Danio rerio: one gene and its partners. The protein of the gene in region 5 interacts with the protein of the main gene of each other region in a pairwise test. Links are inferred from orthologs where the notes say so. Each region holds a gene or a part of one and is shown on either strand. Other genes may lie near its edges. The genes, in order: aida, rad54b, eif4h, trim54, lnx1, ca8 and agtrap.

What was found.
Region 1: the proteins of lnx1 (region 5) and aida interact in binary tests that used the Homo sapiens proteins (3 or more experiments, as listed by UniProt). The link is inferred for Danio rerio from reciprocal best matches to the Homo sapiens genes LNX1 and AIDA.
Region 2: the proteins of lnx1 (region 5) and rad54b interact in binary tests that used the Homo sapiens proteins (3 or more experiments, as listed by UniProt). The two-hybrid records come from large-scale screens. The link is inferred for Danio rerio from reciprocal best matches to the Homo sapiens genes LNX1 and RAD54B.
Region 3: the proteins of lnx1 (region 5) and eif4h interact in binary tests that used the Homo sapiens proteins (3 or more experiments, as listed by UniProt). The two-hybrid records come from large-scale screens. The link is inferred for Danio rerio from reciprocal best matches to the Homo sapiens genes LNX1 and EIF4H.
Region 4: the proteins of lnx1 (region 5) and trim54 interact in binary tests that used the Homo sapiens proteins (3 or more experiments, as listed by UniProt). The link is inferred for Danio rerio from reciprocal best matches to the Homo sapiens genes LNX1 and TRIM54.
Region 6: the proteins of lnx1 (region 5) and ca8 interact in binary tests that used the Homo sapiens proteins (3 or more experiments, as listed by UniProt). The two-hybrid records come from large-scale screens. The link is inferred for Danio rerio from reciprocal best matches to the Homo sapiens genes LNX1 and CA8.
Region 7: the proteins of lnx1 (region 5) and agtrap interact in binary tests that used the Homo sapiens proteins (3 or more experiments, as listed by UniProt). The two-hybrid records come from large-scale screens. The link is inferred for Danio rerio from reciprocal best matches to the Homo sapiens genes LNX1 and AGTRAP.

The regions. Positions count from the first base shown.
Region 1 is NC_133195.1:55,027,497-55,031,717, reverse strand, and holds part of aida (axin interactor, dorsalization-associated protein), read right to left. Parts: intron 3,902-4,221; coding exon 3,779-3,901; intron 1,937-3,778; coding exon 1,819-1,936; intron 1-1,818. UniProt on the Homo sapiens protein: Acts as a ventralizing factor during embryogenesis. Inhibits axin-mediated JNK activation by binding axin and disrupting axin homodimerization. This in turn antagonizes a Wnt/beta-catenin-independent dorsalization pathway activated by AXIN/JNK-signaling.
Region 2 is NC_133191.1:29,853,477-29,858,307, reverse strand, and holds the start of rad54b (DNA repair and recombination protein RAD54B), read right to left. Parts: upstream 3,171-4,831; 5' UTR 3,099-3,170; intron 1-3,098. UniProt on the Homo sapiens protein: Involved in DNA repair and mitotic recombination. May play an active role in recombination processes in concert with other members of the RAD52 epistasis group.
Region 3 is NC_133190.1:4,811,502-4,816,488, reverse strand, and holds the start of eif4h (eukaryotic translation initiation factor 4H), read left to right. Parts: upstream 1-2,003; 5' UTR 2,004-2,075; coding exon 2,076-2,140; intron 2,141-4,987. UniProt on the Homo sapiens protein: Stimulates the RNA helicase activity of EIF4A in the translation initiation complex. Binds weakly mRNA.
Region 4 is NC_133195.1:42,035,744-42,040,764, forward strand, and holds the start of trim54 (tripartite motif-containing protein 54), read right to left. Parts: upstream 3,246-5,021; 5' UTR 3,134-3,245; coding exon 2,966-3,133; intron 1-2,965. UniProt on the Homo sapiens protein: May bind and stabilize microtubules during myotubes formation.
Region 5 is NC_133195.1:25,282,447-25,286,667, forward strand, and holds part of lnx1 (E3 ubiquitin-protein ligase LNX), read left to right. Parts: intron 1-1,639; coding exon 1,640-1,817; intron 1,818-4,221.
Region 6 is NC_133177.1:25,093,888-25,098,108, forward strand, and holds part of ca8 (carbonic anhydrase-related protein), read left to right. Parts: intron 1-939; coding exon 940-1,002; intron 1,003-1,075; coding exon 1,076-1,124; intron 1,125-1,262; coding exon 1,263-1,375; intron 1,376-4,221. UniProt on the Homo sapiens protein: Does not have a carbonic anhydrase catalytic activity.
Region 7 is NC_133186.1:18,188,741-18,192,202, reverse strand, and holds the end of agtrap (type-1 angiotensin II receptor-associated protein), read right to left. Parts: intron 1,113-3,462; coding exon 988-1,112; 3' UTR 964-987; downstream 1-963. UniProt on the Homo sapiens protein: Appears to be a negative regulator of type-1 angiotensin II receptor-mediated signaling by regulating receptor internalization as well as mechanism of receptor desensitization such as phosphorylation.

The DNA of each region.
Region 1 (4,221 bases), about 30 Mb from region 5:
TTTAACACTTAATGGTCTTAAAAAGGTCTTAAAAGGTCTTAAATTTGACATTATGATATCTGCAGAGACCCTGTCCATGATAGACGCGGTGGAGAAAACTCTGCAGACATCCGCTCATGTCTCTATCCAGAAGAATCGCTGTAACAGCCGAGAGGAGAGGAAACGTCACACCAGCAGGTCAAATGGGTCACAGTTACTTTCATTCTCTCAAACGCAGTGAAATGGGGGCTTCTGCTGTTAGTGGAAGACTTTCCAGCAAACACACACGCAGTGAAATTGTGCAGAGTTTCTGCGTTTTTAGGTAGTTGGAGCGTTGTAAATACTCGCACTCGCCTCCCTCACCATTGTAAGCTACGGCGACATAGTGCATACGAGATAAATGACGTCAGTACATAATAATCGGTTATGATTATTACTGAACCGATACCGAATTGTCCGCGTCTGCATCGCAGTGCGACGAAGAAACACCCCTACTATGCGGCCGTGGTGATTATAGCGGTTAAGAATTACAGCAATTTTACTCTCTTAATTACAAACATGCTGTTTTAAAGATGTTTAAACTAATAAAAATCACAGAGAGTTGAATCAAATATTTTAATCCCAGTTTATTTGCAAAAAATGTTCTGTGGGCGTGTGTAAACATGTTATTAAAGAAAAATGGCTCTTGTCAATCAATTTGGTAGGCGAGGAAACCACACTCCGACGTCACATTGTGATGGGCCACTGATTATAGCTCACTGGTAGCTCACTTGTTGGGTTTCTATAAGGTTTGGGCGATGTCGACCAATTAGGCCAATTATTGTACGATGTCTAATGTGAAACATCGCAATGGACGATGACATGGTCATCATGTGAAAATGACATTTTCACATGATGAGGGGTTGATAGAATGCATGCGACGTACGTATCTTAAGAGCGAGAAGGGATCTGGGGGTGAGATGGGTGCGCGACTTATTTGAGGACCGGGAGGGAGATGCACGATTTCTGGGAGATTACCACTCGTTTGCTGCATTATGAGTCCCGCAAATGCATAGAGACTCCCGGAACTTCCGGGAAACTTGGGATGTCTGAATATTAGGTTTAACAGCTATAGTGAGACGCAAGCTGTACAATCTTGATAAACTGTCCGACGTGCACTGCTCTCTGCCTGGAGCTCAGAGGAGTGCATGACAGAGTGTGTGCGTGTCTGTGGCTATGTGTGTGTGTGTGTGGTCACGTGATGTGCGTTTTTAGCGGACGTCAAACACGTTGTGGATGTGTATCATTCTCGTTCTAAAATGCCATTTTAACACTAAGACATATTAGTGTAAACGGGGCCTGAGTGTGTATTTTTTGCGAGCGGGTTTGCGAAGGGGGCGGGGCAGAGGACCGGCTCAGCAACGTATTGTCTATTGGCCATCGGCGATGGACGATGTCATGGTCTATCGGCCCAACCCTATTTTCTATCACTCCAATGTGACTTTATCACTATACCTACAGTTCTGTCCAAACAGCTATGAAAAGTTGATTTTCGTCATAGGTGCCCTTCAATCTAAAAAACCTGTCACCATTCACTTCCATTATATGAATCGACAAAAGCCACAGATTCAGCTCAAAATCTGCTTTAATGCTCTACCGAAGAAACCGAAATTCTCCTACATCTTGGATGAGCGGTGGGTGAGTAAATTAACCCTCTAATTTGTGTTCAGAAGATGCACAGATCTCAGGGGATTGAAATGACATGAAGGCGAGTAATTAAAAGCTGAATTTTAATCATGAGGGTGAACTATTCCTTTAATGCCAGTTCAATGTAGAGCAAACAACTGGTCTGATACTCACAGCTCAATAACAATGGGACCTGGCTTGATTTCATCCATTTCCATGAAAGCGAAACACTTAGTGCTGGTGAATCTTTTCTTGGGTTTGTAGTGCTTGAATTCAAAGAAAATAGCTGCGCCTGCAGAGAAAACAAAGCACAAAAATATGTCATTAATAATTAAAAACCATTTAGTGGAGTGATATAGAGCTGTAACACTATCAAAAACTTGCCGGAACTACTTTAGCTGTGGTTTTATATGAAAATAACAACACACCTTAGAATGCTCATTAGCCAATCAGAATCAAGCATGGTAACAAACTGTAATACAGTTGAAATCAGAATTATTAGCCCCTTAATTTCTGTTTAAATTAAAGATTTTAATATAGTTATAGAATAGTTTTAATAACTCATTACTAATTACTGATTTCTTTTATCTTTGCCATAATTTTCCAGCCTCCACTGCTGAGACTGCAGCTCTGCACAAGACTTTTGTCCAGCAGAGAAATTAAAATGGTCGTGCCCAACTCAGTCTTTTTTTTTCTTTCAAGGTTTTTTTTCTTCATTCGCCTCGGTGAAGTTTTTTTTCCCTCTCCGCTGTCCCCACTAGCTTGCATGGTTTGGGATTGGTAGAGCTACGCATCGATGAATTTGCTCTTCAGTGTTTGGACTCTCAGTAATGATGTAAACCAGGGGTTCTCAACTGGCTATGCTAACCACATTTTTACATGGTCATCAAGCCGCGACCCAAGTTTTTAGGAACTATAATACAATTTTAGGAATTATAATTAATTTATATTTATTTGTTAACATACACGAGTAGTGAGATGAATTATAATAAAATCAGCAAGACTTACAAATAAACTATACAGTATTTCATTGCTGTCATTTAACAAAATGTATCAAATTACAGAGTAAAAGTGACAAATACTGTAAACTGTGGTTAGGGTATGGAAAGGTTCAGTTTCCATGAACTAAACTGTTAATAAAACATGTTGTCTGGTTTCTAAATGTCGTTTTAATTTAGAAGGTTTCGTGCTCTCTTGTGAGAGCACCTCGCTACTTATGACACACTGAGGCTTGAAGTCGTTTTTGCTGTCAATAAATGTAAATCCATACTTCACATATTCGGAGTCGTACCTGTGTTTTGACTTATTTTTGACTTCTTATTTTATTTTTTTTAATTTTTAATTTCACATGTCAAACAGTACGGTTGTCGTGCACGCATTTTAAAATAAAAGTCAAAATAAGTTAAAAATTTAACTTTTGTTATTTTTTTTTTTTTTTATCAAACACTCCGCGACCCACTGAAAATGTTCCCACGACCCACTTTTGGGTCGTGACCCACCAGTTGAGAAACACTGATTTAAACCACACTGAACTGAGCTAAACTGAACTGAACTTCAACACTAAAAACTGAACTACTCTGTTCCAGTTACTATGACCATTTATGTGAAGCTGCTTTGACACAATCTACATTGTAAAAGCGCTACACAAATAAAGCTGAATTGAATTGAAATGAATAATGACAGCTCAAAATATTTGACTAGATATTCATCAAGACACTAGTATTCAGCTTAAAGTGACATTTAAAAGATTAAATAGGTTAATTAGGTTAACGTTAGGGTAATTAGGCAAGTCACAGTATAACAGTGGTTTGTTCTGTAGACAATCCAAAACAACTATTGCTTCAGGGGGCTAATATTGACCTTAAAATGGCTTTAAAAAAATTAAAAACTGCTTTTATTGTAGCCGAAATAAAACAAATAAGACTTTCTCCAGAAGAAAAAATATAGGAAATACTGTGAAAAATTCCTGAATCTGTTCAACATCATTTGAAAAATATTTGAAAATGGATAAATATAGCACTGGGGGGTGAATAATTTTGCTAGTGTTGTCTTGAATGCGACATCAAAAGCACACTACTAGCAGTGCATAATGACTTTTCAGCCACTTCAGTGATGCTCAAATGCAAAGTTAGACCTTTGGGTAGTTTTTCCAGATGTCTCTGGATTTCCACATCCACACTAAAATGAATATATGTGTCCTCCTTCCGCGTGGCCACTGGTGTGTCCTGGACTGGGTTCAAGTCTATGCCATTCAGATCTGAGAGAAAGAAGTGAAAACGAGGAAACGTCAGACAGTAGCTATGTTTCCATCCACCTATTTTTTTTTATCAATATATTTGTATTATTAAAATATGAAGCGACCCCCCCCCTACCAAGCTCGCTGAGGCCCCCTTGTGGGCCGCGACCCCCCTGATGGGAACCACTGCTCTAAGCCATACAATATGACTTTGTGGATCTACTGATTTCCATTATATAATAATGAATGTCTTTGCTGCTATCAGAGCCATTTTAATCAAACGTAAATTCTTCCTTTGATCAAGCAGAAGAACTGATTCATCCCCCAGTAACATAACTCCT
Region 2 (4,831 bases), on a different chromosome or scaffold from region 5:
TGTGTGTGTGTGTGTGTGTGTGTGTGTGTGTGTGTGAAACCATATCACAAACATACATTAGTATCATTTCATGTTCTTGAGTATAAATTTCACATGCAACTTATAAAAATTTAAATATACCATCACTAGACATTTTTGCAATTTATTAACTGATTTTTCCTTATTCATTCATTAACTATGCATATTAATTATTTAGTCTTTCGATCAACTTTTATATGTAGTGTTTCATATTTGTATTATTTCACTTGCTTGCAGGGCTTTCCATTGTTGTTTACCATTATGTTTGTGGGGTTACATTATATATTTCACTAATTTGTAGAAGGGTTTTTATATTTCAGATTTACAAGATGTTGTTGTGAAGCAGATCTGCATACATTGCATTAGATTTATTTTTTTGACATTGCTTTTGCAGTATTGAGCAATATGATCGATCAAATATTTATTTTGAGTTTATAAATGTACTAATTAATCAGAGGCATGTACTAGATTAGTTAATTAGTTGTTGAATGTAAACAGAGCGATGCAGTGGTGCAGTAGGTAATGCTGTCGCCTCACAGCAGGAAGGTCGCTGGTTCAAGCCTCAAATGTGTCAGTTTACAATTCTGTGTGGAGTTTGCATGTTCTCCCCATGTTCGCGTGGGTTTCCACTAGGTGCTCTGGTTTCCCTCACAAGTCTAAAGACATTCGGTACAGGTGAATTGGGTAGGCTGAATTGTCCATGGTGTATGTGTGTGAGTGGTTGTTTCCCAGTCATGGGTTGCAGCTGGAAGGGCATCTGCTGCGTAAAGCATATGCTGGATAAGTTGGCGGTTCATTCCGCTGTGGCGACCCCAGAATAATAAAGGGACTAAGCTGAATAGAAAATAAATGAATGAATGTACACATGAAGTGTAAATCTGAATTATGTAAATAAATTGTCATAAAATTGCAGTCCTACACTGTAACGTGTTGTTTTTATATATATGAATTTAAATACCAATTTATTATTAATAGTTTATATTTATAGCATTCTGATTTACTAAAGTAATCCGAAAATTGCTATTACGGATACAAAAGATACCCCTGAAACTTAATTCAAACTGTGAAACAGAAATATAAACTTTATTTAATAGAAAATATAATTTCTGACCCTTTCATTAGCATCAAGTATAAAAGAACAAAAATAAAGAACAAAAATTTATTAAAACTACATTTAAGAAATAATTAGCACATTTCTTTTAAACTGGTAAAGTGGTTAAATGTTTTAAAAGGTTAACAGTTTACTCAAAACACACAATGATAAAACAGTAGTTTAAGAGAACAAAAACATTCAAACAAAAAATAAGAAAACAAAGAAAAAAATAAATGATATACAAATACACAAATTATCTCCTTTCTAATGACAAATCCAATTCAATACAAAATCATCTTTCCAGTGACAAATCCAAAACAATATTGCCTAAATTATTTATACACCATCAACAGTCAATGTGTACACCTTTTTGACTTTGTACTTGTCTGTGTCTACATGGGTGTAATGTGTTTTTTTTTCTTTACAAATTTGAGCAATTCCATGCAAATGTTTACCAAAATAGCAAAATACTTTCTAGGTTCTTTGTGTAGGCTCGTATTTCACAGAACTCTAGAAATACTCATAAATGTCTGAGTCAATGTTGTCAAACTAATATATTTGATTTACCAAAGTCACAAAAGTGGCATTTTTACATCTGTCACATGATTCATAACCAAGCTTTTTCCTCATAAATGTCAACTAAAATAAAATCAATGATTTTTGTTTTTATAGTAAGCCGACTCTTATCCTTTAGATTAGCATTGTTTCATTTGGGTTGTGCAGTTTAATTTACAGAATTTCTACAAAGTATGTTGTATACTGTAAACTCGCATACTTTTTTTGGTCACGTCCATAACGCATGTTTACTTTAAAATATAAATAATATTTACAGATTGGTATTTTTCTGATCCCATAACTCTGTGGTTAGTTGTTTTGGAAAATATAAACAGATGGTGCAATATAATGTTATCATAGATTTTCTCTGTGTATTTATGTTTGAATTTTTTACTCAAAATGTCAAACCCATAACGCTGGAATTGCTCATTAATTGTCAGCATTTTTAATAGTTTATTGTTTTATTTTTGAGTATTTTGTTGTATTATGCACTGTCTGTAGTCTGGAGCCAGCACCTAAGCTATTCAATTTAGGTAAAGCTGGTTAAATATCGGCACATTCGTACAGTGACAACTTGTGACATGCTGCCTACATTGTTTAACATGGTACTTTGAAAATTCAATCGAAAGTCACATGTAAGTATTACTTGAAAACAACATTAGCCCTATTTATTTGACTGTGAACAGTGTTGTACTTTGACAGTCGTTGACTGATAATAGGATTAGATTTCCATATTTAGCATTGGCAAAGAATACTTTCTTGGAATGACACTATTTTGGAGAAACTTTACCTTAATAGATTTTCATTCATCATAGAACACGTGCTGCTGCTGCTAATGTGACAGTTAAAGTGCTTTGATTTGAGGTATGTACACAGAAATTGAAAAAAAGAACTTTTGTTGACATTTTTATAATTACATTTTAGTATGACTTTTTAGGATTTTTTTCTTTATGAATGCAATATTTACTACCTAATCAATAATATTATACATGATGTTAAATATTATTATTAAAGTGTAATAAGCAGCCCTGATGAACTGCAAATTCTTTCGTATCAGAGGGTTTATGATTCACTAAAAAGATCCAGTTCATAAGAGTCATTTCATTTGTTCATGAATCGGACAACGCGGGGTAGCTCATCTATATATATCATTAAACTGAACCAGCTCATAAATAATGTTAAGAAGGTCATACTCATTAGAGATGACAAGAATGTGATAAACAAAGAAATAGTTTCCTTTTGGGCGAACCATCCCTTTGCGAACAGGACATTTTTAGCAAGCAGGCAAGCATCTGTTGCTGTCGTTAGCAAAACACGGGTAAACAATGTAAAGTTGAGCCGCGCTGACCGACTCCTTACACCTCTCAAAACATGTCAAATGCATTTGAATTTAATCTACTAATTGTACATAAGCAATACGTAAACCGCTTACCTTGTTATCGAGTTTCCTCTCGTATGTCAATCACTTTGCCTATTTACAAAAACTCCCTCAAAAACGAGTCTCCCGCGGACGTGACGTACCTTTGCTGTGATTGGACAAAACTCGACGTCACGTAAAGTAGGTGGAGTTGAGGAGCTTATGAAGAGCAAAAATCAACAGTACAGAGAGAGTACTGTTAAAGAAACCTGACAGGAAATGTAGCCTGCAAATAATATATATCTAATCCAGCAAAGGTAAATGAAGCAAAATAGAAGAGACGTCTGAAAAGTTTGATTTCTGTCAACCATCACTGATCAAACAGGCAAGTAGAAGCTACTACACATTATTAACTAGACTTGTTTGGTTATTTACATTATAACAAACAAGTTTTGTGCACAGTTATTAGCTTTGACATCAAATCAATTACTGGTTTGTGTGTGTTTTATTATATTCATCATTGCAGTCTTTCATTAATACATTGTTAGTATACTTTATATTCGAATTATTGCAAAAAATATTGCTTATTAACAAACATATTTTACTAGAAAGTAAACAAATGGTGAATTTTTGTACATATTACACAGTAAAGAAAAATCTGTATATGTAAAAAAGAGTACTGGAAAGGCACTGAATGAAATAAATTATGATCAATGTATCAATGTTTATTTTTGGTTGTAATTTAACTAATAAATATATATAATCATGAATTACTGGCACAGTACTGGAGAAATCTTGAATAACATTACCCTTTAATCTTTAGAAACGTTTAATAACACATACATGGTGCTTGAGTGTGATTTTATTGAATTCTTAAGTGTTTTACTCAGTAACTGTGTTTGGGATGCACACAGATGCATGTTTGCATGTGTTGTGTCAATATTTTATACAGTGCTGCATGTCTGAAAGTGAAGCTGTAATGTTGGCGTGTAGAAAATAATCCAATCAGAGTGTGGGAAAGCATAATCCTGTCTAATCCAACCGCAGCCATGAAGAACAGAGATCATTCAGGCAGTGAGAGTGACCAGACACTGACAAACATCCTCTCCTTCATAAAGATCCTGCTGTATATCCTCAAATGCGGATCTGTTAGCAGTGAGGGTTTAACCAGAGCAGCATATCATAGAAAAACAGAAGTGTTTAATGGTCAAGCCACAAACGGACACCTAAGATGATCAGTTGTTTTTCTGTCACGTGGCCAGGCAGGTGCAGGAACACTTGCGCAGATCACCTGTTACTGAGGGGTTATTATTAAGGACCGTCTGCTGGATGTCAGTGAGGGAGGGACCAACAGGCTCCTGATATATGGGTTTTACTGGTAAACACTCCATTTTCAACATTAAATGTGTTGTATATTTGTAATCATTGTTCATTTATAATTTACATTCTTTAATTACTTTTTAATGTAACAGAATTATTCATGTTAAATTGTAGTTGTCAAATGAGAAAACATTTGAATGTGTAACATAACAAGTAATCTTACAATTCTGTATGTTTAAGATACTTAACAAAATAAAATGTAAAATTTATATACAAACCTGTTTCTGTTTGCAGTTTTTTTTATCTATTCTTACATTATTTTAACTTTGTCAGTGTGAAAATAAAAAAACATTTGTTTTGATTGGATTTTTAAAAAATCATTTTTAATTTTATTTCCTAAATCATGTTTAGTGTAACAAATATTCTTGTCAAGTTGTAGTAGTTTAACACAATTATTAAAAAAATGAAGTTTGTTGCAAAGAAATTAC
Region 3 (4,987 bases), on a different chromosome or scaffold from region 5:
GTGGGAGGTATTTTATTGCGGTTTGAAATTATTTAACAAAAAGTATCTGACTTGTCAAACTGATGAAAACTGTGCGCTTTATTTCTATTTTGTCATGTTGTTTCCACATAAATGTCTACTTCCAAGGCGTTAGAAACAGACATTTTCTTTTAGCCTTATAATTTGATGTTGCCGCCATGTTGCCGTTTCTTCGCTGTACCGGTTGTTACCAGGTTACAGAAAAAAATAGCATGCTCAATCAGATAAGAGGAACTGGAAATCAATATGGTGTTTACAACATCACAGAAAGGGTAGTGTTTAAGGACTTAAAAGCACAAACTTAAAATGAACACAATTGACAAATAGTCAAAGACAAATTAAATGTTAGCAAGGCGGCACTGTCCCAATCAGGCCAGTAATGATCCGGTCTACTGTCCCAAGTGTCTCTCACGCTAACCCAGGGCCACCGGGCTGTCCTTATTGTTGAGCCCTGTACAGGAAACAATTTTTGAACCTCATATAAGAGAGAGAGAGAGAGAGAGAGAGAGAGAAAATAAAACATGCACAAACAAAGTACTGTTAGGGTGATTATTTTTTTTCCTTCTAAAACATAAATTCATGTCATTGAGCAGAGATGCCCAAACTAGGTCCCGGAGGTCAAAGTTGGCCTATGTTACTTTTTAATTTGGCCCACCATCCCATCTAAGAGAGGGGGAACGATGGGGGTGGTTTCGAGATTTTCAATTTAGATTTAATGTAACCTTTTTTGTTTGTTTGTTTTATTGTTAAACGCTGACTAAAATGAAATGTTTCAATGAAATGGTGTAAATTATTCAGATTTGATTTAAATCTATAGACTGTCACCCGACAATTCAGAGACTTTGGTGAGCAAATCAAGCCAAAGGCAGATTCTGCTTGACTAGGGTATTCAGCGTTGAATTCCACAGTGTTATAAAATCATTCATTCATTCATTTTCTTTTCGGCTTAGTTCCTTTATTAATCTGAGGTCGCCACAGAGGAATGAACCGCCGTTGTACGCAGCGGATGCCCTTCCAGCTGCAACCCATCACTGGGAAACCCATACACACTCATTCACACACATACTCTATGGTCAATTTAGCTTACCCAATTCACCTGTACCTCATGTCTTTGGACTATGGGGGAAACCGGAGCACCCGGAGGAAACTCGCACAAACGCAGGGAGAACATGCAAACTCCACACAGAAACTGACCCAGCCGAGGCTCGAACTAGCAACCTTCTTGTTGTGAGGAGACAGCACTACCTACTGCGCCACTGCGTTGTCTAGTGTTATAAATGTGATTGTTTATGTTTTATTGCAATATGTTTTCACTTAAAAAGTTATACGGTATTACTTAATACCATTTAAAGTGAGGTTTTCTATTACATAAATATGATTAAATAAATTAGGAGATCATCCATGGCAACGTTAATGTAATATAGGCTTACTGTAGTTTGGTATATTTACCTTCGGCCCACGGCTCTCAATGATATTTAGTTTTTGGCCCTTCATACGAAAATGTTTGGGCAGCCCTGCCATAGAGGGATACCAGACGAAAGAAACTCATACATGTTTGGAGCAAGTGTAGGATGAGTAAACAAATGACAGAAGTTTGGGTCGCTTTAAATAAGCATTCGGGTGAACAATTCAACAACTTGCCTTCTTTGTCGCTCCCTACTGGCAAAAAATAAACAAATCACTAACGTTAAATGAATCTATTTGGTGAACTGATTTAAAAGATCCGAACACTGAATCAAAACCCCACCAGTGCGTCCCTCCAAAAGAAGTAGCTGATACTACATTTAACCGGAGTCGAGTCGACCCGCCGTTGCCTAATTCAAAACTCCTTCAATATTCGCATTCAAAATGTGACTTTCAACACACCCCCTAACAATTAAACGCGCGCGTTACATTTAAGCATTTACACAATATAAAAGCCGTCCGCGTTTAGATGTATTGTATAAAATTCAAAGGATGATTTGTCAGGCACGCGGAGGTCAGCTAAATCTCGCAGCCGTATATTTTGGGGTCCTTCAGCGTCAGACTGCTGCTTTCTCTGAACAGCATCTTCGGCAATGGCGGATTACGATAACTACGATGACCGGGATCGGGCGTACGGGAGCTTTGGCGGTGGAAGAGGGTAAGAAACCTCGCGTGCGAGGAGCGGAGAGGCGTGCGTTTTAGGTGGGAGTCAGCAGGGCTGTGCGTGTGGCCGCCGGTTTGCAGGACACCCAGCGGCTGTAGGCCACGCAGCGGCGGCGCGCTCCCCGCTATGATGAATGAAGGCCGGGCTAGAAACTCAGCCCACATGGGCTGCATGTCTCGCGGCTGACTGATTATTTCAGAGGCCTAGTGTGTTTTTTTTAAACATTCCTTTTCGACTATGCCTCTTAAATCAGGTTATGATGTCATGATTGTTGCTTTATTTGGGCGACAGCATGCTGGCGTGTTTAGCACGGTCTAACGTTAAGTTACATTGGGCCTTAAATTGCGGTTTGACTCCCATTTATGCTTCTCCGCAGTTTTTAAACACTCCAAAATGTTAGTTTATGAGCAAAATGATGGTAGCTTGAGATAATGGCGCCTTCACAGTTTTGTACATGCACAGTGGAAGTCTCTGGTGTGAGTGTCATGTAGATGAACATGTGCATCTGTATTCTGCTCGCGCGGTTAGAGTCCACTTTTAACAAACGAGGGATCTTGTGTTTGTTATTGAGGTAAAGTTGGTTTTATATCCACACATTTGGACTTTCTCTTTAATAATATGATTTCAGAAAAGTGTTATTGGAAGATTCTAAATACCGCGAAATCATTATTAGCTGACAATGACTATCAAAGCACACCAATGTTCAGTCAGTTAAATCGTGCTAATGTTGTTTTGTAGTCGTACTTGTGCTTTCAGACCGAATATTCAAAGTAACTTAACATGATAAACAATATAAGGATATTATAATAAGTAGTCACTGAACGAATTTGCAAATATAAAGCCAATTTGACATAGTGTTTAACACATTTGTGGCTATGGTTTTACGTCCATACCGTTTCTCAGGTATGTGTGGCATTAATCGCTTCTTGAGTATTGAAACAGAAAGTAAGTCCACTTGATGTATGTAAACCTGTGGGTTTTGTGTTCAATTTGGGCTTCGTTTATTGTGCTGCATTATTACTGAGGAACCTTTGTGTGTACAGAGTCTTGAAAGTTGAGGTTGACGACGACTTAGCCACTTTTACACCTCTGTCTGATCTCTTCAAGCTAAAATGGCCAAACACCTTATTTAATCAGTTATTAGTTAAATGTTTCAGTATACCATGGTATTTCCTTGTTTTTAAAGTTCTTAAAAAAGGGATCGTTCACCCAAAACCCTCCCTTCATTTGCTCCTTAAAGAAAGCTGAAAACATGTGTTCAATGAAAAGAAGAAATTTAAAGAATCTTAAAAACAAAATTGAAGAAATAACACAATGTTTTGTTTTCAAATGCAAACTAACCCCCTTTTCGCAAACCTAAAGGCTCAAATACACTCAAGGTTATAATAAACAAACACACACCGATCGCCACATAAACCCAGTGTGTATGTCTGTGAAAATAAACATCTGGGCTGTATCAGGTCGCTTTGCATTAGATCTGTGTAATAAAAGGACAGCAGTGTAAATGCAGTAGTAGTCTCCATTGGTAATATGAATCAAACTACAAATAAGTCACCGCTGAACCACATTAGTAGTATAATATGCATACTTGAATGCAGTTATTTTTACTGAGCTGTTCTCACTGGCCACTTTATTAAGTACACCTGTCCGTCTGCTTGTTAATACAAATTTCTAATTAGCCAATCACATGGCAGCAACTCAGTGCATTTAGGCATGTAGACATGGTCAAGACGATCTGCTGCAGTTTGATCTGAGCATCAAAATGGGGGAGAATGGTGATTTAAGTGACTTTGAACATGGCATGGTTGTTAGTGCAAGACGGGCTGCTCTGAGTATTTCAGAAACTGCTGATCTACTGGGATTTTCATGCACAATCATTTCTAGGGTTTACAGGAAATGGTCCGTAAATGAGAAAATTCTGTGGGCGCAATTACCTTGTTGATTCCAGAGGTCTGAGGAGAATGGCCAGACTGGTTGGAGCTGATAGAAAGGCAACAGTAACTCAAATAACCACTTGTTACAACCGAGGTCTGCAGAAGAGCATCTCTGAATTCACAACACGTCCAACCTTGAGGCGGATGGGCTACAGCAGCAGAAGACCACAGCAGGTGCCACTCCTGTCAGCAAAAGGCGTTCTCAACCGTGCTAACCGAACCGTGCCCAAGCCCGTTTCCCGGATCGTTTAAGAAGTGTGAGTGAGTTAAGTATGAGTGCAAAGCGCACCTGAGCCCAAAACTGAAGGCGAGACAAGACTTTTAAGGGACTGTTTCATTTGGATTTATTAATTATTCATACAGTTCAAGGAACACAAACTATCGTAGATTATTAAAGACACAAACTCCTCACTGCATGACAGCTACACCTTTAGCAAACCTCCTAATTCTTGCAGCACGAGGACTTTATGATTGTTTATGAGTGACAAAAGTGGCGGATCTGTTCGGCGAAATATTTGACTGCGTCACTATCAAATGACTAAAACAATATAACTGAAGAAATCTCCACTGTGCTGAGCGAGAGCACTTCTTACTGAACAGCGCATCATCGATGACGGAAGCAAACTCGGGCACGAATGCATGCGAGTGCGGGCCATCGGGGGGGATGGGAGGGTGGACAAGCATGCTTCGGCCCGGTCCAAGGAAACTGTACATAGTGTAAGTACACCCCAAGAACAGGAAATTGAGGTTACAATTCTCACAGGCTCACCAAAAATGGACATAAGAAGATTGGAAAAAGGTTGCCTGGTCTGATGAATCTCGATTTCTCGACATTCAGATGGTCGGGTCAGAATTTGGTGTCAACAACCTGAAAGCATTTATCCATCCTGCCTTTTATTTACAGTTC
Region 4 (5,021 bases), about 17 Mb from region 5:
CTAAAATATTATTTTAATAATTATATCTGTTTTTCATGCACCGAAATACATTGCCTATATCCACTGAGAAATTAATAAAATATTCATTTCAATCTCATTCATACATTTCAGTTTGATTTGCTCATCCACCAATGAGGGGTAGGGACAGGAGTGGAGTTTGAAGGCACATCTCCTTTAAAAAAAAAAAAAAATCTACATTTACATATCAGTGAATGAGTATGAATAGTTACTTTTCTGACAATATACATAGTTATGTTTACTCGTGATATCGGGCTGAATATTTGAGGAGGATTTACTGAAAATGTCTGTGTGAAATGTGCTAATGATTAAGAGTCTAAACATATAGAGGCAAACTAATTTACATGACTCCTGATAATACCAAGGTCTTATGAATATTTTTACCTTTAATCCACATCTGTAAATGGCCTACAGCGTATTTACAACAGTCTGGAGTATATATAATGATGAATTGTCTAGGACTGCTTTTAATTAACATGTTTTCAATAATCTGTTTTGATCTTTTACTGTTGTTCCCTTTAATAAATGAGGTTTGTAGGCAAAGCACTTTAAAAAAGTAACTTTTAAAGGAGCTTTGTAAATTAAATGTGTTATTATTATTGTATTATTCATTAATTTTCCTTCAGCTGAGTTCCTTATTTATCCGGGGTAACCACAACAGAATGAACCGCCAACTATTCTAGCATATGTTTTACGCTGTGAATGCACTTCCAGCCAGAATCAATCTATTTGCCCAAAAAAATGTGTAATGTTCCCATCAGATATCTTTTATAACTGTTAAAAGTATAATTAGAAGCACTCAGTCATGTTGAAGTCTGACCTAATGGCACTCACTTCGCAGAGAGAGAAGAAACAACACTAATAATGACTGCTAAAGGATGAACTTGTCTTGATGATGAGATGAATAAACTAATGCCAAAAGGAGCAAAGTAAAAGAGATTGGCACAAAAAAGAAAGCCTAAATGGATCATTAATCTCTGTATGACAGATGCTATGGTACTTTGAGTTCTGGTTTCATATTAGGCCTCAGCTAAGGGAATACTGTACAACATCATTAACAATATAACTTAAAACATTTTAATATCTGATCAATTAGTTAAGGGATGGACAAACTCGATCTTGGAGGGCTGGTGTCCCTGCAGAGTTTTGCTCCAACACTAACTGAACACACTTGAACATGCCAAAGTGTAAAAAAAAATGCTAGGTTTCACACAATTCGGTACCGTATAGAGCACCAACCCAGACAACATATCACTTTAAAGTATAAAAAAGGTTCATAAACGGCACATTTTTAAACTTTTCAAGGTTATATGTTATTGGAAGAAAGATCAAGGTCCGATAATGTAATTCAAAAGCATAAATAAACTTTTGTAATTAATTTTGTCAGGAATACAACACATCTCTTCACTGATTTATATGATTTTTTTTTTCAAGAAAGATCTCTGCCCTTTTTATTAATGTTTGTGTGTGTTATTTATATTTTATGTATATTTATTTAGTTGCAATTCTTGTAGGTGCTTATGTTGTTGTGTGCGTTTTTTAATCTCCTCCTTTGGGGTGGGATGGGGGACTGAGGGCTTTTGAATGTTCTTGTTTACCCTGAGCTATTGTTTAAAAAAAAAATTGTAACATTGATATTGAGGTTTTTTTTTTTTTTTTTTGAAAACTCCACAAAAACAAACAACAAAATTAAACGAACAAATAAATAAAAGCATCAATAAACAACGTGAATCACAAAAACTGCTAGTTTACAAAATAATTTTACAGTGTATAATAATGTTATTACATTTTAAAAATACATTTAAAATATAATAATTACCATGATTTTTAAAATAAATCAAATGTATTTTAATCATTTGGGTATGTTATCACAAAATGTTGAAATTGCGTTCTTATTGTGTTCGGTGAAATAATTGTATTGTTTTTTGAAAGAAGATTATTCACTTACCAAGTCTGCATATATTTGATCTAAAATACAGCAAATACATTTGAAATTGAAAGTAACTTTTTTTTTTTAAATTCTGAAAATATATTAAAGTACTATTTTTCTGTTGGGGGAAGGGGTGAGGGGTTTAGGGGGTGAATCATACAAAAAACTGCTAATTTACGATTTTTTGGGGGGTGGGGGGCGTACATTGCAGCCGCTATATTAATAACAGGAACTAAGAAAAGAGATCATATCTTCCCTGTCCTTGCCTCATTGCACTGGCTACCTATAAAATACAGAGTTGATTTTAAAATTCTTCATTTCACTTATAAAGCAGTGCACTATTCTGCCCCGGTCTATGTCAGTGAACTTATTAGGCCTTATTCAGCTTGTAGACCGTTAAGATTCCATGACCAAATTTTTTTTTTTGTCCCTCGGTCTTGCTTCAAACCAAAAGGTGATCGAGCTTTCTGTGTCCCCAAGGCTCTGTAACAGTCCCCCCCTGAACATCAGGATTTCTCCTTCATTGGATGCTTTTAAATCTAACTTAAAGACTTATTTTTACTCTCTTGCCTTTGAGTGATGCATGCATGTTATTTATTATTATTATTATTTTTTTAACTTGTATTTTAGTATTACTTTTAAACATATACATTTCCTTGTATTTAATACCAGTTTTTTAGTTTTATTGTCTAGTTTATTTTATTGCAAAGCACTTTGGATCAAATACAGTTGCTTAAAATTGTGCTCTATAAATAAAGTTTGCCTTGCTTCATCTTGCCTTACATTAAAGAACAAAAAGTCTCTTTGCATCATTTGAACCAGTTTCAACTTATAAATCCAAACTCAGTATTTTAAAAACTCATTAGGCATTCTAAAGGGAAAATAGATGGCTTGAAAACACAGATCCTCTTCCAGCTTTTACAATTACAAAAAAGCTCTCAAAAGTTAAATGAGCATTCTAGATACTACAGTTCAAAACAGGCCGTACACTATATAATAACAGCAATAAAGCATTACCTGGAAAACATCATTGGCACACTTCCTGCAGAGATTGTGCTGGCAGGGTAAAATGACGACAGGCTTGCTGAATATCTCCAGACAGATGGGGCAAATCAGTTGCCTCTCCAAGTTCTCCATTGAGCTGGAATCTCCGATCGACGGTTTGAAGCCCAAAGTGAAGTTCATTTGGACACCAAATTCAGTCAATAGCTTAAGATCCTAAACTTCCTTTCCTTCTGTTATTCTCCAGCAGTGCCAGTCTTCATCCAGATGCCCAATCAATCGCCAACCGTAGAGTGGCAGAGGATATATTTGGGCTGTGTTTGTACTGGCTTGGGTTACTGTCCAAACTGCACACCCCCTTAATATCACTTTGAATACCCCAGTTAGCGCTGCATTGAGGGGTCCGGGGTAGAGAGAGAGCAAGAGAGAGGGGTGGGAGAACGGATTGCTCAGAGTTGTGTTATCTGTGGTAACTTGAGCAGAAAGTGGGCATGGCAGACCAAGCAGCTGGTGTGTGCGACTCAAAGGCTAGTGAGACAAGCAGGCCCATGAGCCCGAGCTGGCGCCGATGATATAACCCACCTAAAACAAAGCCTAAGTGCTCTGAACACATAGATTATGTGGATATACAGTGGGGGAAATAAGTAACACGTCAACATTTTTCTCAGAAAACATATTTCTAAAGGTGCTGTTGACTTGGCAGCTTAAAGACGCCTCTCATTTGGAGAATGAAGTCATATGCATTGCTCAGGTGTGACTTTTTTCACTGGCTTCAACAGTGTAAAAGTCTTGATGGCTCTCAGGTCTCGTCTATCAAATCTGATCATTATTTCATATTCTATATTGGATTCAAATCAGGTGATTGGCTGGGCCATTCTACAGCTTGATTTCCTATCTCTGAAAGCATTTGAGAGTTTCCTTGACTGTGTTTTAGATCATTGTCTTGCTGAAATGTCCACTGTGGTTTTATTTTCATCATCCTGATAATGTAGATGTTGGACTGAAGCAGCTAATATTCATTTACAATGATGAAGGGCAGAGTGTTGCTGAAGAACTACTAAGAGATTTCAGCTGCTGTCTGGGCTTTCACTGTCTTTCTACACCTCTCTTTCTTCATGTGTTTAATACTTTTTCCTGTCTCATTTCATTTTATTACACAACACTTAATTTGTAAACTAATTTAGTTGGTTTTCTTTTTATATATGCATTTCATGTTATGTGTTTTATAAATGGTGACATGTTCAATACTTATTCCCCCCACTGTACCTGCAAATCCAGTGTTTACAAATATAGTATATAAACTGTTAAAATGCTGGGTTCCACACAATTCCCTCAAGTTGTCTCAACACAAATAATTTATGTTAACTTAATTGTTTTAATATTATTTTTTTGTTCAATTCACTTAAGTTAACTTAGTTTTTCCAATATTAAGTGTGCCCTAAAAAACCCTTAAGAATTGTGTTGTTTCAGCTTATTTTAAGAGAGTAGTTTAAGCAGCAAAAGACATTTTTTGAAGTGTAGTAATACATTGAATGCTATGCAATGCATTAATATCAGTGTAGTTTAGATTATATTGGAATTTTATTAAGTTTAATTAGTCACATGTAAAAGAGGTTAAGCAACAAAGCAAAATGAAGGTTTAGTAAGACTTTTGTTTAAGTATTTATTTACTACTGGATTATTACCTGCCTGTTATTAAGATATTGGCTGTTTAATAATACTTATTCTACACGCACTATCCTATTCAACACATAAACCCAACTACTACCTCACAAACTGTTAATAAGCAGCTTATTAGTAGTCTAACAAGCTAAAAGTTTTAGTTAATGGTTTATGAATAGCATGAATTATACCTTAAAATAAAGTGACTGAAGCGTTGTAATGTAATGTTGAAAAAAAAAACTATGATTTAACTATTATAAAATGTCTTTCAGAGTGGCGGTAAATCTAAAAACAATAAAAATCTGAGGCATATTCAGAATAATAATTCGATTTCATATTAAAAGTCTTTATTTAAGGATCACATTGCAGCCCTGAAATACTTAATTATCATTTTAAATCTTTATGTGCT
Region 5 (4,221 bases):
TAGAGCACCAACAGAAAAAAGGCATTTGCACTGTAGATATCTGTAAAACTAGATGCATAGTTTGTATTTTATTATTCACTTACTTGCACATGGTAGTTACACAGTAAAATATAAATTACGTCCAGTTATTCATGGTCATCGATTAATAGGTTTATTTAATATCACGAAAGTCCATGAGAACCTCTCAATATTTCTCAAAACACTGAAAGCATAATAACAAGTTTGATGAATAAATTAGATGTATTTGAAATAAAATTTAGTTCACTGAAGCATTTTACCGAATAAAATCGGAAAACTTGACCCCCCAACCCCTGATTGTCGATGCATAATTCGTACCCTGCTTCAGGCCATACAAAATGTAGATTTTTTTTTCAGTGAAATAGTTTAGAATATTTAACAGTACATTTTATTTATATCTGACATTTAGTTTATACTGTAATTTTGCTTCATAAGTGTGTATTGTCACCAGCCTCAGCTAACAATTTAGTTTCAGCACTGTGTATTTTTTTGAATCTCAAAGTGCCAGTATAGCATTTGTATTACATTTTATGAAATGCCAAGGCTTTACAGTTTCAGAAAAAAAAAAAAAAAAAAAAAAAAACACCTTCTCACCTACATTTTGGCCTGAGGGTAAATCACCAGTACATTTTTATTTTTGAATAAAATATCTCCTTAAAACAACTACAGAAACAAGAACAAAACTATCATTATCAGTGTTCTATTTCCCCTGCTTACAGACACTTTATATCCTTTCAGTAACTCCTATTATTTCTCTTTTACACACTTGGAAAGGTGGAAACATTCTGGCAACATACTGTCAGAGGCTTTTCACTCCTCTGAATTAGACACAGCCTAACACACACGCACACACACACACACACACACACAGTCCAGCGATAAGCCTGACACACTAACTCCACATCTGATTTGATGTAGCCGGAGGCTCAGACTAAATATAAACAGCCCTTTTATTGAACTTTAATAACGCTTTTTATTAAGTTAGAACTGAGCGACTGTGTTTGTTGTTTTTGGAAGCTATCCAAGGTACAATTTGGCCGCGGTCAGCAATATCACAGCGTCCTGCAAGCTCACCATTTATTACAAACACAAGCTTTGGGCAGTCATGTGTTCAGATGCTATTCTAATTCGCCAGCGAGAATCCAAACAGCAGACAGCCAAACGTCATAAACTTTCTCAAAACTTGAACCAATTACAAGGCTAGCCCACTCTAAAATGCCAATTCTGTACTCACATTTACACAAAAGATATGAAAAATGTTGAAAACCGCTACCTCAGGACTTCCACTGTCATTTTCTCCCTACTATAGTAAATGAATATTAACTTTAAACATTTTTCAAAATATCTTTTGTATTCAACAATAAAATAAACTTATTAATACATAGGTCTCAAACTTGATTCCTGGAGGGCCGTGGCTCTGCACAGTTTCGCTCCAACTCTAATCAAACACAGCTGATCCAATTAAACAAGGTGTTCAAGTTTAAACCGTGCAGAGCTACGGCCCTCAGCAATTGAGTTTGAGACTATTGTTAAAAAGGTTCAGAAGCACTTGAAGGTGAGTGAATTGAATTTTTTTGAGTGAACCATTAACTTTAAAATCTATCATTTCCCTTAATTCTAGGATTCGTGCCAAAAGCCAGCGTGTTACGAGAAGACGGTGACTCTGTTAAAGGAGCCGCATGATTCACTCGGTATGACGGTTGCCGGTGGGATGAGCAGCAGAGGTTGGGATTTACCCGTCTATGTCACGAATGTCGACCCCAATGGAGTGGTGGGACAGGAGGGTTCCATCCGCAAAGGTACGGCCTCATAAACCTATTCAGACACATCCGACAAAGCCATACACACCTGTTTCCAAGGTGCCCCTCTGATCTTTCTTGCTTTTGAATCCACGAGCACAGATAAACAAAGACACACCTGCTCCTGCATATGTATGACTCTCATCGCTTTTGCAAATTTATGCATATAAAACTAGAAAGTGACACACTCCTACTCGTACACCTGCCATACTGCTATATTTGCTATATTGTACTCACAGTTTTGAGCTGGTTTAGCGGATGGAAGTTATTTCAGGTTTATTTTTGTCTTATGTGACATGTATAGTAGTGTGTGAAGGTGTGATCAGGCACAGGCTGGTGTATGTAGATAGATGTGTGACACCGTGAAGACATTTACAGTGGTATTTATTTAAAATAGAAAACATTCTATACATTAAAAAGTCAGAAAAAAAAATTAAACATTCGACTTATGACTAAAAACAAAAATCTACAAATATCTATAACATTACAGATAGATTAAGTTCCTTAAATATCAACTCTGGGACAAAAGTTTCCATTTTTAATGTAAAAGTTCATTTCTGACACGCACAGAAAACAGAAATAAAATATGAAACATCTTGTGTGTCTATGACAGTGTTTAGACTAAACTCCTGCTGTATTACCTCATTTAAATGGTGGTCTGGTGGTGAAACAGTGCCTCTTCAGTCTGATTTTAAAGAGATAACTAGCAGGAGTGACAAAACTAGCATATCTTGACCTCCTCTAGACCTTCCATAAATTCTATCATCGGGTGAGCTCTAGTGTTTTGATGAAATGAGATACTGTAGAGTGTGTGTCTGTGTGTGTCCTGTTTTCACTGTATTTCAGTATGAGCCTCTGTCTCTCATTTCTCAGTCCCTGTCACAAATCTCTCATGTCCTTCTACTTCCATTTCCATCTTTTGTCCAAACTATATTTGTCATCCTCGATCTATATTAGCAGTTTAAATAAATATATAATACAATGGTCACATGCAGTACATAATCAGTGACCTTCACATTTACATTAAGGACTGAATCCACAAACTTATTTTTTATGTTGTGTATGAAATGACTCCAGAAATTGTGACAACTTGTACTTTAGTAACCATATTGCTTTAACATATATTTAACACAATATTTTTGATTAACTTTACTGAAATCAAAGACACAACAGCATTTTGAACTAACAGCAGTCAACAGTGTTGTATTTTGTCCATGCTTTTTTATGCATTTCACAGAGCATGCTTTTCAAATATTGCCATGTCTAATTATTATAAGCATATCTGGGCATGGCTCATAAAGTCATATGGAGTTGATGAAGGAGGCAGCTAAATAGAAGATTTAATTTGTTGTGTTTTAAAAATCAGATTTATTCCACCAAGTACTGGTTTCTTAACCTTATGTTAAAATATTGTGTTGTCTAAAAAAAGGCTTTAAACCTGTCAGAAAACATGCCAATTTGCTATTTTAAAAGGAGGGAAATCTAAATGATATTTTAGTTTTACATTTGGAAGAAATTTCATTAGTAGATTTACAGAATTAAAAAAAGTCTGATTTTACTCAAACAATTGATAAACTGAGAATCTTACTGTGGTCTTTGAACTATTTTCATTCATTCTTTCATTTTCTTTTCGCCAACTTATCCACCATATTTTTTATGCAGCGGATGCCCTTTCAGCTACAACCCATCACTGGGAAATGAACTATTTTCTTCTATAGCTATATAAATAGTAAACATTTAAAGTGGATCAAGACGTTTGACAGAAATAGGTGTTAAAATGGTTTCAGGACAACTTTGATAAAGAGTTTTGATCAAATGTTGACTGCTGTATTTATAGAAAATATAATAATTGAATGTTAGCATTTATGTCAGAACACACTTTATTAACCTATTACAAAAATATGGAATAAAAGTAGAAATAGTATTGGAAGACTATACATACTTTTGACAAAATAGAAAACAGATAAGTGACATTTAGAAATGTTATCAATTTTTTTAGAAAGCACTGAAAAGGAGCACTGCTAGGATAAGTTCCAGTTGATCTGATGCACCACATGTGGTTTACAGAATAGAAAGGTGAAATAAAAGAATAGAGAGTGTAAAAACAGAATACACTAGAATTATTAGGTGTTTGGGGGGGGGGGGTCTTCAGCTGTTTCGTGAAAATTACTAAACTACAAGTGTATAGAACAGAATTAAGCACTAAAGAATTAACTGAAATGAAATGCAATAGCTATTATAAATTACCCATAAAATGACCCATTTAGTCTTAATAAACCTCTATAACCATGTTGTGCATGACTCTAGCATGCACATTATTCTATTAAATTTGCATAGCAATATTTTAGGTTGTTTCAAATAATGAAAAACTGTCTCCAATCAACAAAACCTCACCAACAACCAT
Region 6 (4,221 bases), on a different chromosome or scaffold from region 5:
GCATTTCAATTTTCAAAGGACGCGTTCTCTTCCCTCACGGTCTCCTGAGTTCGTTCTTCCGAGGACACCTGGCAAGACCGGTCTCCACAAGAACACAAGTCCGTTCTCTGCGTTCTTGGAATTGAGAAACAGCCTTGGTCCTGGAGGGTCTGCGTCCGGCAGATTTTAGCTCCAACTTGTCTCAAAACATCTGCAAGGATGTTTCTAGAAGCCTAGTAAAGCAGCGGTCACACTGCACTTTTCTCCCCATAGACTTCCATTCATACGCACATAAATGCGTCAGAGCGGAACGGAACACAAGCTTGTGCGACAAGTTTCGCAGTTCGCTGCATTTGAAAGTTCAAGCTTGGTGAACTCGGACCTGCGAAATCTCATCACATGATTGGGTGAGACCAATCCAAGATCAAAACATGACCTCTCTGGACAGGAATTTAAAACATGGACCAATCGCTAGCTTTTTTTTTTTTTTAAATGTCTACTCATCTAATCCTGCCCCTTTTCACAGTGCTGTACTGTGAAGCTGCGGTCACATTAGAGTTTGAGCATGCGATATTCTGACGTGCGGCACTGCGGAAAGGGGCGGGATTAAACAAGAATATTAGACATTTAAAAAAGCGAGTGATTGCTCCAAACAAAGACAGGCACAAAATGCACATTTTCAAAGCCGAATTTCTGACTTTAGCATTGTTTTTCAGATAAGCTAGAACGTTCACTTAGCATGTTTGTCAAATATCTGCAAACATATTATTTTTATGCTTTAGAAAAGTCAAAAACTTAACAAAACACACTTTGCACACTGTTATGAATCATTCTGTTGATGGGAAGTAAAAATCCTGTTTAATGTTTGAATTTATGGAAACAAATACTGTTTCTAGGAGAAACTGAACTGACCATATGTCCTGCTCAGCTGACACGGCTGCTCTAATTTACCCTTTTCAGGTTGGGAAGGAACATCTTGGTCTGAAGGCCATCACAGACGTCCTGCAGGACCTGCAGTATAAGGCAAGCAGAAGAGCAGCTTTAGTAAACACAACACATCCCCTTGTGACCTAAAATGTTTCTTTTGTTTGTACAGGGGAAGACTAAAATAATTCCATGTTTTAATCCCAACACATTACTCCCTGGTAAATGATTTCTTCATTAATAATCCATGATAGTGGTATTAGCATCTTTTTGCATGTTTTTGTTCTTGATGTTTTCTGACTAGTTAAAGTTTATCAGTTTGTATCTGACTGCCTCTGTTGCTATGTTTACACACTCAGATCCTCTATTAAGAGATTACTGGGTGTATGAGGGCTCTTTAACCACCCCGCCCTGTAGTGAGAACGTCACCTGGATTCTGTACCGTTACCCTTTGACCATCTCTCAGATGCAGGTGATGCCTATACAAATATTATTGGGTTGTTGACTTGACTTTGCATTTTCACTGTCACACTTGAAAAAAATGAATGTAATTAGTACTGCGATCATTTTCTTGCATGAAAACTTGAAAATTTGTACATTTTTGAGCCAAATCTTTGGCATTCCACTGAAAATATTGTTTGTTTAGTTGTAGGACCTCATTTAAGATCATGTGACCTCCTTTGAAGCCCATGACATGCACATGTTAAGTGTTTGTCTCAGAATTTCTCACATATTTAACTTTTTGGAACCATTATAAAATTGTTTAAAAAGTTAAATGTTTTGTTGTCCTTTGGTGTGACTCCCCTTTTATTAAAACAAATCTAACAAATTCATCATGTTACTGAGAAAAATATTATTGCTAATTTCATGTAAAACAAATAGCACTATATGAAGATATAAGTGTCCAACAGTAAAGATAAGTCACGCTCATGATATTTGTACATTATAAAGAGTTGTTTTTCTTCATTTTTGCTATGTTACACCGTATTGAATATTTAAGATACAATTCAGTAAAAGTGAATCTAATAAAGAAAAAAAAGATGAAGTTAGTGACTCATCATTTTTAGTGAGGTGCTATGCAGGTAAACCTAGTGATAGACACTAGAGGTCATAGTCTTTAGCCTCCTTGTTAGAGCAACTGACTCCGATGCGAGGAATCGCTGGTTCAATCTCAGCTCAGACTGGGTTGGAAGCTGTAGGACTGGTGGGTAACACATAGCATAGGATGGGAGTGAGGTTTAGGGGGTAAGTGTAACGGAGGCCAGCTAGAGAAGTGCTATACATGTAAACCTCACTCCTGACCTCTAAAGGTGCTCTAGCAACAGATGCTAGACGCCATGGTCTTTAGTCTCCATGTTATAGCAACCAACTTCCATGCAAAGAATTGCCAGTTTGATGTATGGATGTTTTCCAGAGATGGATTGCAGCTGGAAGGGCATCCGCTGCGTAAAACATGTGCTGGATAAGTTGGCGGTTCATTCCGCTGTGGTGACCCCAGATTAATAAAGGGACTAAGCTGAAAAGAAAATGAATGAATGAATAAATGTGTCTACATTTTCTATTTGTAAATCTTAATTGAAGATGGTTTCATCTGAATATACGTGTCTCTGACATTACCAAAAGTCTATGACTCTGCTAAATTCTCTCTCACTCTCTCTCTCTCTCTGTCGGTATACACACTGCATATATGATGGTCCTATTGTCCTATCTAACTAGTTCTTTCGAGTACACAGAAGGGGAAATCAGAACCCGACTTTGACGTGTCTTACACAGAATGGGGTTTACCACAGTAATGTAACGGTAAAGAACAATATATGGCATTTATCTGCATCTTTGATCTCAGTGACTGGCAGAGCACAATACTTTCAAGTAAAGGCCAGTCATATACTGAATATTATGGAAAGGTCAGACTTGAAAGCTAGTCAGGGTCTTGCCTGTGTTCGATGACTGTAATAACATTTTCTATATAAATAGTTTCCTTCTTTGATTAATGGATATGGTTTTCCCAGATTGAATTTGTACAGAATGCTGAAATGACTCAGCCTATGTTATCACGTTAAAAACAAATACACCATACTATGGAAAAAGGTAGTTATGATAACAGACAACAGAGTAATAATAATAGCATTATAGAGAGAGAAAAGTAAAAATATAAAAATTTAGTTTTCTCATGTTTCTGGAAAAGCTCACACCTAGGGTTCAAATTCAACACTCACACTAAAATTGACCAAAAAAGTGCAAATAATAAACTGAACAGAGTTACTCACTGCCTAATAGGTCATTTACAATGAATAGTATGAAACATAGTCATAGATTTGCTGATATCAGAGATGTGTATTTTTCAGACCAATCCATCTCCTATTAACTTTTACTAATTGAAAATGTATACACAGTTGCAAATTATACATTACATGAACCTTTAAATAATATACATTTAAGTACTTACAGTTGAAGTCAGAATTATTAGCCCCCCCTGAGTTATTAGACTGGTTGTTTATTTTTTTCCCTAATTTCTGTTTAATGGAAAGCAGATTTTTCCAACACATTTCTAAACATAATAATTTAATATCTCAGCTCTAATAACTAATTAATTTTATTTTTGCCATGATGACAGTAAATAATATTTGACTAGATAGTTTTCAAGACACTTCTATACAGCTTAAAGTGACATTTAAAGACTTAACTAGGTTAATTAGGTTAACTAGGCAGGTTAGGGTAATTAGGCAAGTTATTGTATATCGATGGTTTGTTCTGTAGATTATCGAGGAAAAATTAAGCTTAAAGGGGCTAATAATTTTGTACCCTAAAATGGTGTTTAAAAAATTAAAAACTGCTTTTATTCTAACCATATTAAAACTAATTAGACTTTTTTTATTTTTATTTCCTTGCTCTGTTAAACATCATTTGGAAAATATTTTAAAAAGAAGAAAAACATTCGAAGGGGGCTAATAATTCTAACTTCAACTGTAAATTAAAACATAAAGAATTTCTTGATGGGCGAAGCAGTGGTACAGTAGGTAGTGCTGTCGCCTCACAGTAGGAAGGTCGCTGGTTCGAGGCTCGGCTCAGTTGGCGTTTCTGTGTGGAGTTTGCATGTTCTCCCTGCGTTCATGTGGGTTTCCTCCCGGTGCTCCGGTTTCCCCCACAGTCCAAAGACATGCAGTACAGGTGAATTGGGTAGGCTAAATTGTCCATAGTGTATCCACACAGAAAAAAAATCCACACAGAAACGCCAACTAAGCCGAGGCTCAAACCAGCAACCAACCAGCGATCTTCTTTCTGTGAGGCGAACGTGCTATCCACTCCGCCACTGCGTCG
Region 7 (3,462 bases), on a different chromosome or scaffold from region 5:
AAAAATATTATGAGACATACTGTGTCTATATCTAAAATCTTATCGATATCTAAAATTTTCTTCCTCTGTTAAAATAATTTGGGAAATATTTAAAAAAAGGAAGAGGGGCTAATAGTTCTGACTTCAACTGTATATATATATAATTCACATATATATGGCCATATATGATAACTAATGATAGATAACATAGAATTTTACTAATTATAATATTTTAGCTAATATATAGCTAATACAGGACAGATCCCATGACAAGGTTTAAGAAAAACCAATGCAATCTCACAGTAATTCATAACTATTTGTTTTAGTGGCTAATTCATATGAATTCGTACAATCTAATTCGTACAATTTAGTACGATTTGCTCATCACCCAATGACGGTTGGGGTTAGGGGTGGGGTTAGGTGCCATGCCTACTTTTTAAAATCATTCATTTTTGTATGACTGAACTTGTACAAATTTGTACGAATTAGCCACTAAACTGACAAAACGTAAAATACTTGCGTTTTCTTGTGAGATCAGGTTGGAAAAAAAAGTTTAAACCTTTCACAAAATGGACCAATTTTATGCTACAAAATAGTAAATGAAGAAAAGTAAAAGTAAAAAATAATAATAATGTTGTGCACACCAAAATTATAGCATCAAGGAACCTTACTGTGAAGCAGCAAATTTTGAGCTTCACAAATAACACCTTTAAAAAATCAAACAGCTTGCACTTGTACAAAGCAGTCCTAAGGTTAAAAAAAAGGTGTTGAAGGTGGGTTTTCATTTATCTCTGAGTTTTCTTCAGTAACGAGGCATCTCCAAATGTAAAGTTGTTTTCCTTCATGCTTCAACATTATATTTAATACTATTATTTATAATAATAATGATAATAATAATAAATAGGCATACAAATTAAACAAAAACATACACAAATCATGAACCAAGCAAAAATTCACATTTAGCCTGGGTTGCAAAACATTTTGCTATATATATTTTTTAATAAATGTTTAGTAGGAACGAGTGCCAGATTTGCCATCTTCCGCTTGGCCAAAGGGGTTGGCAGAGCTTCCAGATTGATCGTTGTGGTCAATAGACTGGTAGGCATCTCTGTTTCGAGATATTGATGGGAAACCTGAAATTTAAAAAAATAAGAAAAATAAATCCAGAATTAATGAATGGAAAGTCCAACTCAATCTCATGTACAATTCTTTAATGATTAGGTTTACTGGGGGGGACTTCCATGCTTACTGTTTTCAAGAAACACACACTTAAAAAAAATAAAAATACATATTGACATTGTTAACTCACCATATGATTTCTTGATATCAGCAAGAGCAATATTCAGAACCTAGCCTAATCTTTTCTCATTCATCCAGAATGATCATGATCCATTAACTGAAGAAACTTCATTAGTAAATGAGTAAACGGACACTTTTTACTGCACATTTATAGTCTAATGTTCTAAATGACATTTTAGACCTTATTTCTTTAACATGCAAAACTACTTTGTAAAAAAAAAAACTAGTAATACAAAAGGAAAGAAAAAAGAAATCAAGCCAAGTAAAACGGATCAATTTGATTTTGCTTCTATTTATTTAAGCACAACCTGAGAAGTCCAGTCTAAATAAAAAATTATTACACGATTCCCTTATAATGTGCAATAAAAACACAGGCAAATATTGACAACTAATTTAAATGCAATAAATCAGCACTTCTGTGCCCATTCAGTCAGACGTTATACAGCTAGAAAATGAACTGTTGTGTTACAGTGTGGATATTTTCGAGATAATCATGAGGGGGGACCTTCGAGACCTTCATAAAACAGTTATTATTATTATAGCAATACAAAAGTTATTATTATAAATTCCTTTTTAACATAATATTATAGCTAATTTAACTGCTGTAAAACATGTTAAATAACAGTTTCCGTATTTCGTGATTCACAAGCATTTATCCATTTATTTACGAGTAGGAATTGCATTATGGGATCTTGATCTTTGCTCTGTCGACTTTTGATGTTGAAAATTTATTCACACTTTAGTAGTTTGAAATAATATAATGTATAAGAAATTATATGTAAAGAGTAAAGAAAAAAGTCACAGAAAATGTACCATAATGCATTTCAAAAACATAAATAAACAGAAAATAAAATAAAATACACAAAATATGGAAAACTGCTAATTTAAAGGGCACCTAAACATCGTTTTTAAGCAGTTTGAACATAACTGAGTTTAGGTATAATTTGTCCACAGTCATATTGAAGTGATAAAAATACACTAAGTCTCTTTTTTTTAATTTCCTGACAGTAAAATAGGATCCAAATTTTCCCCATTTTGCGGCCCACCACAACGTGACGTAGGAGTGTGGTTCCCGTACCCACCAAAATGATTGACGTCGCGTATTAACATGTCTCTGTAGTAACGCCTATAATCATATCAACAAGACAGGACATACACAAAGAAACTGGTATCGCTGTGAACATCAATCATCATCAAATATGATCAAGAATGAGTTTTACAAATTTAAAACCTTTTTAAAACTTTATTACAGAGATTTTACCGTCTTTACTTTATCACCACAGCCACATATCAGTACAATTATAAAAGAAGAATCCCGGTTATGGACATTAAATCAAGTTTAATATGTACATTAACATAACAGATATCCACACAGCAGAGGATATTAACGTGTATCCTGTCACAACTGCGTGTGTGTGTGTGTTTGTGTGCGTGAACTAGAGGTCTGCATTCAACCCGACCAGATTTCTGCGGTGCGGTAATACATTTCCGAATAAAGCGCGGGAGCGGTCGGTAACTGGTTTAATTTTGGACGGGAGTAACTGTCCAACAATATCGCTCCCGACTTCCGAGCGAGCGAGCACGCGTATGTATGTGTGTGAATGAGACAGCAGCAAACAAGCTAAACACAGCATCACTCTGTGTGTGTGTCTGTGCGTGTGTGCGTGTACGAATGAGAGAGAAAGCTTTGTGCTGTCTGTGTGTGTGAGTGAGAGAGAGAGAAAGAGTGTGATGCCTATGTGTGTGTGTGTCACTTGCTTGGTGCTTATGTGTGTGTGTGTGTGTGTGTGTGTGTGTGTGTGTGTGTGTGTGTGTGTGTTTATACAGACAGTTTGTTATAGGCTGTCTGGACTCTGTATAGCTGGGTGGTTTTCGGTTTTGTTCTCCCCCCACTCGTTAGTGGAAACGGGCGCGGCGGGTAGAAAACGGGGCGGGTTCTCTAGCGTAAACTTTATGCAATGATGAGTCTCACACAATGACGTTCCATAGGCTTGAATTAACTCCACAACAAATACATCAAATAATATTTGGGAAAGTTGTTATTGTAGTATTTCTCACAAACGTTTAAGAGATCTGCTTCCTTCGTGTCTGTCACTGTGCTGTTTATCTGATGCAGCTGGAGCCTGAGGCACACTGACAGCCACGTGGGAACAGTGGGCAGGGAGAACTAGCATTAAAGGCACA